2 linked regions of the Saccharomyces cerevisiae S288C genome follow. The protein of the gene in region 1 interacts with the protein of each later gene in a pairwise test. Each region holds a gene or a part of one and is shown on either strand. Other genes may lie near its edges.

Region 1 (5,409 bases):
CTATGTATACCAAGACGACTATAATGTAATCTGTTATCGATAATCTGCCTAAAAAGGGGAAGTACATTTTGCCAAAAGACAGTTTTTTAAAATAGTGCTAGAATAATAAAGTTTTGTTCGAATTGTTTTCTTTCTTCTTTCCTTGTTCCTTAATATCTCTGCACACCTAGTTATTCCTCGAAAATAATTCTTCTTGTATTTACTTTATACAAAAGAAAAATGACCGCCTATGTTTGCTTTTTCTTGCCAGTAACAAATAATAGCTTCAATAAGTATCCGGAAAGAAATTATCTTGATATCTGTAAAAAATCACTGATATTTTGTTGAATATGATTACTCTTGCGCTATCTTTTCCTGTTTTTCCTCTTGTTTGTTCCTTTATTTTCTCTATTGTATTTTACAGAAAGGCAAAAAAATAAAAAATGTGCCCCTAGTAAATATAGGTTTGTGTTAATCGGCATTTTGGGTTATAAAGATCTTAAAGAATAAATAAGTGCGGTATTGGGTCATATATAGGAACGTATATATAAAATTGGCTATATATATATTTGTGTGTAGAAACAGGTGCGTCGCCTTAAAGAATCATAAAGTTAATAAATAAGTACCGAGAACGGCGGTGAAACCAATGAGAGCGTAACCAGTTCTGTAAACGCCTTTCAATGTCAATTCCTTAGCGGTATCCCAGATCAAGTGTCTAATGGCGCCACCATAGTGAATTGCAAATAAGTAAGCAAAGGAACCCTTGATGGACCATTCGGTAATCTTGGAAAACTTCTGATGGTACCAATTAGAAACCTTTTCGGTAGTCAATCCAAGACCTAATAAACCAGAGACTCCGAAGAGTATAGTAAACAAGTAGAAACCTAGTCCCATAAGCACCAACGAAATACGGTGAAGAGAAGACAGGTACCAAGTTAATTGTGGCTGGTAAATGGTCAGATGTGGAGAAATAGGTCTCTTTGCTCTTTGCTTGTTTAATATTTGTTCTTCAGCAATTGCCGCTTTGGTGTTCATTTCACTGGCCACATTCTTCAATGGTGAGGTAGAAAGGAAGTTTGTTCTAGCTGTATTAAAAAGCAGCCTCCTCGAGGAGCTCAAGGCAGCTGCTCTTGAAAAGGCGGAGGGTTTCAGTAATAGAGCCGACTTATTCAGTCCTAACTTGACCATCATTGCAGACATCGTTTATTATTCTTAGAGCTTGTGATTGGCAATTTTTGGTTGGTCCTGAGATTTCTATGCGGGGATCTCGATATCATAATGCCAGTGCACATTTATACAAGTACCAAACGCTTAGAGCGGAAAACGGAGCGGGCTACCGCAGCCAATCAGAATGGACCTGGTCAAAAGTTAGATGATGCTTAAGACTACTGAATGGTATACAAGGTAATATATAGAAGGCTGTTGGTATACAGCTTTCAATCACAGATAAAAAGTATAGGTATACTTATGGGAGGAAAACTTTGAATTCTTTTCTTCTCTTTTTCACCACTAGAACATCCTTTAACTGCAATGCCGCGGAAAACATAGGTTTCATTGAAAGAGAATCCTGTTATGATATACTCAAAACTATATGTATATAGATATATATATATATATAAGTGAGGGAAATTTCTAGAACCTGGAACTCAAGCCCTCTTATTCATTGATTTTTCATTTTTTTTCATTTTCTGTTTACCATATTTCGGTTCCTCTTCTAAGGGAGAGACCTAGATAGCGGGCAACATCATTAAATGCATCATCTAGCTCATCTTTGGAGAACTTTTCCAACTCCTTAGAAATCTCTTCATCAGTGGTCTCATTAATGTGAAAGGCTTCCACCTTACCTTCCAGGAAGTTTTCAAAATCTTCTTGTTCCTTTAGAGTTGGTGGCAATCTTTCGTAGAATTTAGCAAGTCTTACCAGTTTTAAGTCTGGGATGTCTTTAAATTCTTTCAACGACTTAGGGAACACTCCGTCTGAAATAGCAGGAATATCACCATCTGCATTAGGCAGTGGCGCTATAACGTCATCATCATCTTTTTTCAAAGAGTTAACAAGTCTTCTGATAGACCTTTCCTCGATGAAATTTAGCTCACCCTGTAGTTCTTTGACTAATTCCACTAGATCTTCATTTGTGGCAAAATCAGTGGCATCGAATTGAGTAGCGGATCCTGATTTCTTCGAGATAGATTTAGAGAATTTCGAATCAAAATCAGTTACGTCGTGCTTTTGTTTATCTAACTGCAATTCCAGCACACGCTCTCCTGTCTTAGAGATAATCAGACTTTGCTTCTTCACTAAGTCTTGTAATTCAGAGACTTGCTTCTGCAGTAATTCAATTTCGTTAGACATTTTCTTCCTGCTATTTATTTATGTGTATTTACTTCCTTTCTTAAAATGTACTTTATCTGCGGAATACGAGTAGTAAGACAAGATATCTCAAACGGTTACTAATTTGAACGGCTCTTTGAAGCAATGCACGCCGGTTTTCTTTATACTAAAACAATATTTGAATAATGAAAATCGACCTCCTTCCTCCACCCCCTTTCTCCGAAATCCACAAAGAGCACCGCCGCGTTTCATAATTATTACCCGGTGGGCAGGATGTATTTTAGCATCAATGCATTCTAGGCTAAGTATACATGTCTACACAGTACTTGTAATGTAGGTGCTTTCTCATCTCATTCTACTCCTCTAAAATTTTAAGCTGCTTAGTGTATTGGTGACCTTCTCAAGTTTCTTTTTCTCTTGCCTTTCACGATTTCTTCTCTGAGACAGTTTACCTTTGCTTACTTCATCAGCAGCTTCCTTCAGCCTTTCAATTTCTTTATCTTTCTTAGCCAGTTTACGGCCACCACTCTCCAGTTCGTAATTGTCCAAAAAGTCATCAAGCATTGACTCAAAATCAGATCTTTCTGCTGACATGTCAAATGGTTGGTAATTTTGTTCTTCGTCCTCTTCTAGTTCTTCCTCATAATTTTCGTAACCATTGATGATTTGATCGTACTGATCATCCAGTACTGTCATCGTCTCTGTACGCGCAATGGCACTTGAACTCATGGAAAATCCAGATACATCTGACATGGCACCCTTTTTTTGACGGCTCTTTCTTTTCTTCTTCCCCGTCTTGCTTTTGTCTTGGATAGAGGGCAATTCGCCCAGCACATCTTCCTCTTCAGAGGGATTTACACTGTCTAAACCTGCATTAGAAAATTCATCATCCGAGTTATGCTTTTCTAGTATAGAGTTATCTTTTTGAAATCTTCGAACATCAGCTTGATAATCGATATTTTCCAAGTCCTCCAGGTTTTCGATGTTATCAAATTGCGCCATTTCCTTAACGTAGTTTTCATCTTCAAAATTTTCTACATTATCAATATCCCACTCATCAAACTCATCCTCGAATTCGTCTTCATCTTTTGCTTCACCGCTCCCTAGTAATTGTGCGAAAATGTCATCTTCCTTTTCTTCTTCTCCATAGTTATCGCCTTGAAGTTGTGTCTTTTTGCTGATGTCTTCAACCACAACATCATCATTAACAACATATGCTTCATCTTCTAAAGCTTCAAGCACCTCTCTTAATGCAGGATTCATATCAGGTTTGAAACCTCTAATTTCATCGGTGGTATCTTGTTGGTGTAGTAAATATTCTGGCTTTGCCATCCCTCTTTGAAACACAGGTAGCGCGTCATCCTTCTCAATTTCATCACGTCTATACTTAGGTTCGATGAATAAATCTTCAATGTTTTTTTTTTCGACCTTCTGTTCATTGCCTTTGGATGCTATAAAGATGGAGTTTTCAGGGTCGAGACCTATTGGCTTCAAATGTTGAGTATAATCGTATTCAGAATCATCAAAATTAATACCATATAAAGCTGCTTCTCCCACATGAGCCCTCCTACCCTTTGGTTTTGTTGAACTCACGTCTTTTTTTCGAAGATCTGCTTCTGGAGAAGTTTTATTTGGATTGGAGACAGGAACCAAAACGTGCGCAGAGGCATCTGTATCATAAAATGAAGGATCATCATGGGGTCTGTGTACCACCACGTACCTTTGGGAGTTTTTAGAGCTAAATTTCTTCGACATCTTCGTGCTTTTTATATTCCCCTTAAAGTCTTTGAAATACTATACTGGTTGCTCGTAGGATTCGGTAAGAACCCTGATTTAGATGCTCATAATATTCAGGCGATGCTCATCGCTTAAAATTTTTATTTGACAAATTTTCAGTCGCGTTATACGGATTAGTTAATTTCGTATCATAATAACGAATATTCAAGCCATGTGCAGAAATAGACGCAAGAAGCGTTATTCGGAAGAAACTATCGGGTAGTATAAAGACATTCTGTAGTACTATTTAAATTAGAAAATTCATTGAACAAGGTAATATGTTTATCCTTTCAAAAATCGCTGACTTGGTACGAATCCCGCCCGATCAATTCCATCGCGATACAATATCGGCAATCACACATCAGTTAAATAATAAGTTCGCCAACAAGATTATTCCCAATGTCGGTCTATGTATTACGATTTACGACTTATTAACCGTCGAGGAAGGCCAATTGAAGCCAGGCGATGGATCATCCTATATTAACGTTACATTTCGAGCCGTTGTTTTCAAACCGTTTCTAGGTGAGATAGTAACTGGATGGATTTCTAAATGTACAGCAGAAGGCATAAAAGTTTCACTGTTAGGTATATTTGATGACATTTTTATCCCACAAAATATGTTATTCGAAGGGTGCTATTATACCCCTGAAGAAAGTGCATGGATTTGGCCCATGGATGAAGAGACGAAACTATATTTCGATGTAAATGAAAAAATTAGATTCAGAATCGAAAGAGAAGTTTTTGTTGATGTGAAGCCAAAATCACCCAAAGAACGAGAATTGGAGGAAAGAGCTCAATTAGAGAATGAGATTGAGGGTAAGAATGAAGAAACTCCTCAAAACGAAAAACCTCCAGCATATGCCCTATTAGGTAGTTGTCAAACTGATGGCATGGGACTCGTTAGTTGGTGGGAATGATAGATAAGGACGCCACTGACTTCAATAAAACATTTAATAATAATAGTAACAGTAATAATGAGGATAATAATATATAATAAACGTGAATTTTCTTTAGCATTATATACGCTAATTCTTTCTCTATTTGAGGGGATACTCTCGTATCCTTTTTATCTCGATAGTTGTAGTTGTACTTGTTGTTTTTATTAACCCTTCTCATAATATATAATAAAAAAGTACATTGACGTCAATTATATTGCATATAACGCGATGTGGAACTAAACTTCTTGTATCCGCTAATAACTTTATCAACAGCCTTCAGGAAATCCTTTTCAGTAGCCACCTTTCTTCTTGCTCTAATGGCAAACATACCGGCTTCTGTGCAAACAGATCTTAATTCTGCACCGGTAGAGTTTGGACACAGTCT
Region 2 (5,571 bases), on another chromosome or scaffold:
CTGTTTGCCTCAACTGGAGAAAGGAAATACGTAGCTGCAAACTGCTTATCACATATCGTCATCACCAGAATCTTCGTCTTCATACCACCCAGATTCGTACGCTGAGGCGTAATCGGAAAGTTCATTTTTCAATTCTTCTCTGTCACTATCATTTTTGAAGTACCTTACCACAAACTCATTCCAATGTTTGAATATATCTCGATTTTTTTCAGATGATTCTAATTCCAAAACAAATTCACGATCATTGGAAAATTCTGTCGGTATCGTATCAGATGGAAAATACCTGTGTGTATACATTTCAATCATCTTACTCCGTGAATCAGGTTCGGAATGATGTTTATGCGTTTGATTTCCTCTATCAATGAAACTTTTTGAAAATATGTGAGTAGAATTTGGTTTGTGGCTATTCTTGAAAGGAAGTACTCGAGAACAGAATGAGTAATCGGTGTCACCGATAACCATGCCAGTGACCATATTTCGCGACGAATATCCTAAGGTAATGGCAGTTGTTAGATAATCCATTGTCTTTCTTTGTTCAAGATTGCTTTGGGAAATTGTCGCATTTATAGAATCAAATATCCTACAGCTCTTTCCAGCAGTTTCCCAATTAGTTAGTCCAGGAGCAGCATACAATGGGAAGTAAAGATCGGATTCTTGCATCATATTTATTGTGCTTCTTAATTTGTTCGAAATGATCGGGAGCCATTTCTTTGAAAGTCTTTTCATAGGGAAGTCATCTGTGAATGGATCATCTTCATTGTGTCCCCATGAAAAGACCGCCTTTTTAGGTAATTCATTCCTTAATTCCACCAGTAGAGCACTAGAAAACCCGCCCCATCCACTCTCCATATCACTTACAAGATTGAAGCCTTGCAGGGTGTCACATTTTTCCAATTCTCTATGCAAATTTCCATCAAAAAACTCTTGCAAGTAATTTTCGGTAAATTCGTCATAACCAATGGAATACCTGTCAAACTTTCGCTCCCCCAAGTTTTGAAAGTCAGGTTGGTTTGGATTTTCAGTGTCATGGTACCAATTTCTCAAAATATTGAAACTTGAAGGACCATAGATAAGTTTAGAATAGTCAGACCAATACATCGTATTTTCTCTGTTCAAACAAGGCAGCGGTGCTCCTGCATCTAGAGAACTCTGATATTCGGATTTAGGTATTCTTGGATGAGTCTTTATAACTGTTTGCTCCTTGAATTTGTCTTCATTGCCGAAATGATAGTCTTGGCTTTCTGAATATTGATATGTTCCTAGTGAACCATTACCTGTACGGGCATCCCAAAGTAAGGCACGTGGTGCATATGAAATTGTTTTTGAAACTTTATCTACAACCGAATTCAGAAAAATTTTGGAGTCATTGACTTGTTGTTCTTTAGACAATTGTAAATAGCCCTCTTGTATATTGAAGAATTGAGTAGTCAAATGGTTTGCTCTCTGCGAAACCGATATCGTTACTACTTCATGCATTTTTTATTCTTGTCTGCCAATTATATATGTAATTTTAACAATTAACCCTCTTCTTCCAAGGTTTTAATTCATCGCATCGATTATATTTTGTTCCATTCGAAATTTTCCATTTTAAGTTTGGCGAAGCTTTTCACGTTTTCATTCAGAAATAATGATGTCGAACATCAAAAAAAAAAATTATCAGGTTACACATCTAAAAAGTTGACTTATTTACAAACTAATTCGCGCGAAAGGTTGTGGCTATGGGTTCGCAATTAGGATCTGGGAGTTGAACATTTTCCAAGTCAGGTTTTAAGCCCTTTACAGTAATTTCGTCGTGAAATATTTTCAAAAATCTGCATAAGGGTTCTGCGTACCACCTTCTGCCGGATCTGTCTTTGAACCATCCAACATGCCCCCCCGTCGAAGTTTCTAGAAGCAAAGTGTATGGATTGGATTTTATTTGGTCTATAGGAAGATCACCTCCGACAATTGGGTCATCCTGAGCATGCAAAGCTATAAAAGGAGTTCTGATCCCGGGTATTCTTTTATATGATGAAGCATTCTTGTAATACTCCTCTGCATTTTTATATCCAAACATTGGGCCTGTCAACAAGTTATCAAATTGCCTCACAGTGCGAATCTTTTTTAAATGCTTCTCGATAACATCTTTGAAATCAGGGTTTTCTTCCAGAGTAGAGAGATGGTTTCGAACCATGCGTAGTAAGTTGTGACCCAAAGCAGGTGAATAAAATCGTGACCCCATTGGTGTACTGTTAATAAAATATGCAGAGTTGTACAGGTCAAATGGATTACTCACGGAAATAGCACATTCGATTTTAGTACGATCTGACTCTTCTCCCAAGTAATTTGTCATTATAGATGCGCCTAACGAAAATCCCATCATATAAAACTTTCTATTCGGAAATCTTTTCCTCAAGTCATTAACACAATATCTTATATCATTGGTCCAACCACCGTTGTATAATAGCGGCGTTGTAATTGCAGAATAACAACATCCTCTAGCATTAAACACGCATGCTTCAAAGTCATACTTCGTGGTGATTTCATGAACAATTGCCCTCACGTAGCTTTCCCTCGAACCCCCTGTTAATCCATGGAGAATAATAAGCATAGGCTTAGCATCGTCTGAGTTCAATTTAGGATCATCAGGGGAATAGTACGAATATCTTCGTTTCAAGTTTCCGTTAAATACCGGTTGACTTGTCGGCACGTATTCTTTTTCCACTTTTCTTCTTTTGGTACTTCTACCATTTACAGCAAAATCCACAGTCCCTTCTCCCCCATGTGGGTATTTGATTATCATTCTTTTATATTGAACTTTGTATATATTGTCAAAGTGTCTAAAGGAACCATATGCAGTTTGTAAATGGCCATTGACCAGTAAACCATATAAAGTGTCAGTAGCACCGTCAGCTAATTCAGGAACTTTAGTATCTATTAGCTCAGGGATGGTGATCTCTTTATTTTCATTCTCTCGTTTATCGGTGGACTTGAATGCAATAGGATCCTCAGGGACCTCTTGATGAACAATCAAAAAATTAGGTAACAATTCTTTTAGACGCATATCGTCTCTGGAAGTTTACCAGCGTTTGTATAATACAGTTTTAAAATAACAAAGTAGTTGGTTTTTATCGAACTTCAAATAATTGAGACCCTTTTAAGATCCACAATACTTTTCGGGGTTAGGTAAGAAGACCCGTAAAAAAAAAAAAACGTAAACGATGCTGTACAATTAACAAATTTTTCAGGAAATAGAAGAGGTAAAAATATTGATATACGAAGTTGAGGAGCGCCAATGGTTAGCTCACTGGCATCAAATATAATTCTAGCCCTTGTGGTAGTCCTGATGACACTGCTAAGGCAAAATAAGCCGTTGCAGAGGTGGTTTGTATCATATGTTGAAAAGCTATTATCAAGAAAATCAAATCTGGCCCAAAAAGTCAGCGTTTTATCGCCCTCCTTAAAATTGGTTGATGTTGAGAAATCAATATCTGCCGATCAATCGAATCTTTCTAAAATTAATTATCAGATTCCCACTCTTCCTGATCTTACGGGGAATTTAATCCGTTTACATGAGTATCGAGCAAGAGGAGAAGGCTATAATGGCCTTTTATTTCGGAGAGCAAGACAATTAAATGGAATTTCAGAAGATCAGTTGCAAAAATTAGGCTACTTCACCAAATTAATGAAAAATAATGAGGGTATCCGAGAAAACGCAAGAGTTATTGACAAGATAATTGAGTTCACTTTAGGGAAATTGATTCATTCCAACGAACACGATGAAGAATTTACAGAGGAAATTGAAAAGATATGCGCGGAACACGGCTATAAGATTAAAGATGGTCACCTTATTCAATTGAATCCTGACTTCGTATTTCCAATAGTTTCGTCTCGAGGCAGCCAAAGTGTGGTCCATGAAGCATTAGCACATTTGTGTCGTGATTTCAGCTCTTACTATAGTGTGGAAAGAGATCCTTTACAAAATTTTATCATTAGTAGAATCAACCATCATGTGATTAGTGCCGGGGACATGAAAGAGAAAATTCTTATCGTGACCCCAGGGGCTGGTGTGGGTGGCCTATCCCATACTCTTGCCACCACTTTCCCCAAAATACAGGTGGACTCCATCGAATTATCAGCCTTGATGTACATATGTAACCTATTTGCACTCGAATATAAGCATGACGTTAAGATACGTCCTTTTGTACAACAATATTCATGCCAGACAGTGTTTGATAATCAGTTGAGAAGTTTATCGGCAGATTTGAGCAAAGTTGGCCACCGCAGTAATCTGGACCCACTATGGGGGGACTTCACACGATATTCTCCCATTTCCAAAGACTATGATAAAATTATCATTTGTAGCGCATATTTCATAGATACCGCGGAAAATATGTTTGAATATCTATCCAGTATTGAAGCACTAAAGAAATACTGTAAAGAGCTGCATTGGGTCAATGTAGGTCCATTAAAGTATGGCACCAAACCCTTGGTCCAATTTACAGGAGATGAATTAAGTCGGCTGCGTAAAATTCGCGGGTGGAAGGACCTTGTGGAGGAATATGAAGTTGATAGCTCAAAGGGATTGAATGGCTATTTAACTGATTATGAGTCAATGTATCAAGGATACTATGGTCTGCTTAAATTTCATTCTGTCTTCGAAAGCTGAATTGATACTACGAAAAATTTTTTTTTGTTTCTCTTTCTATCTTTATTACATAAAACTTCATACACAGTTAAGATTAAAAACAACTAATAAATAATGCCTATCGCAAATTAGCTTATGAAGTCCATGGTAAATTCGTGTTTCCTGGCAATAATAGATCGTCAATTTGTTGCTTTGTGGTAGTTTTATTTTCAAATAATTGGAATACTAGGGATTTGATTTTAAGATCTTTATTCAAATTTTTTGCGCTTAACAAACAGCAGCCAGTCCCACCCAAGTCTGTTTCAAATGTCTCGTAACTAAAATCATCTTGCAATTTCTTTTTGAAGCTGTCAATTTGCTCTTGAGTAATGTCTCTTCGTAACAAAGTCAAAGAGCAACCGCCGCCACCAGCACCGGTAAGTTTTGTGGAGCCAATTCTCAAATCATCGCTCAGATTTTTAATAAGTTCTAATCCAGGATGAGAAACACCGATTGAGACAAGCAGTCCATGATTTATTCTTATCAATTCCAATAGTTGTTCATACAGTTCATTATTAGTTTCTACAGCCTCGTCATCGGTGCCTTTACATTTACTTAACTTAGTCATGATCTCTAAGCCTTGTAGGGCACATTCACCCATGGCATCTAGAATTGGCTTCATAACTTCAGGAAATTTCTCGGTGACCAACACACGAACGCGAGCAACAAGATCTTTTGTAGACCTTGGAATTCTAGTATAGGTTAGGATCATTGGAATGGCTGGGAAATCATCTAAGAACTTAAAATTGTTTGTGTTTATTGTTCCATTATGTGAGTCTTTTTCAAATAGCAGGGCATTACCATAAGTGGCCACAGCGTTATCTATTCCTGAAGGGGTACCGTGAATACACTTTTCACCTATGAAGGCCCATTGATTCACTATATGCTTATCGTTTTCTGACAGC

Evidence for each region. The genes of interacting proteins can lie anywhere in the genome.
Region 2: the proteins of MRP8 (region 1) and MGL2 interact in a two-hybrid assay, tested with the Saccharomyces cerevisiae proteins (2 studies listed by BioGRID).

The regions. Positions count from the first base shown.
Region 1 is NC_001143.9:175,437-180,845, reverse strand, and holds MRP8 (Mrp8p), read right to left. Parts: upstream 2,332-5,409; coding exon 1,672-2,331; downstream 1-1,671. Other genes in the region: TGL1 (sterol esterase), read right to left, coding at 1-67; succinate dehydrogenase cytochrome b subunit SDH3, read right to left, coding at 583-1,179; ribosome biogenesis protein LTV1, read right to left, coding at 2,674-4,065; DNA-directed RNA polymerase III subunit RPC25, read left to right, coding at 4,365-5,003; proteasome regulatory particle base subunit RPT1, read right to left, coding at 5,230-5,409.
Region 2 is NC_001145.3:684,988-690,558, reverse strand, and holds MGL2 (putative carboxylic ester hydrolase), read right to left. Parts: upstream 3,044-5,571; coding exon 1,694-3,043; downstream 1-1,693. Other genes in the region: DML1 (Dml1p), read right to left, coding at 49-1,476; YMR209C (uncharacterized protein), read left to right, coding at 3,275-4,648; ERG12 (mevalonate kinase), read right to left, coding at 4,761-5,571. UniProt on the Saccharomyces cerevisiae protein: Converts monoacylglycerides (MAG) to free fatty acids and glycerol. Has a preference for palmitoyl-MAG. Does not play a significant role in ethyl ester biosynthesis. Also possesses ester hydrolase and low but persistent TAG lipase activity.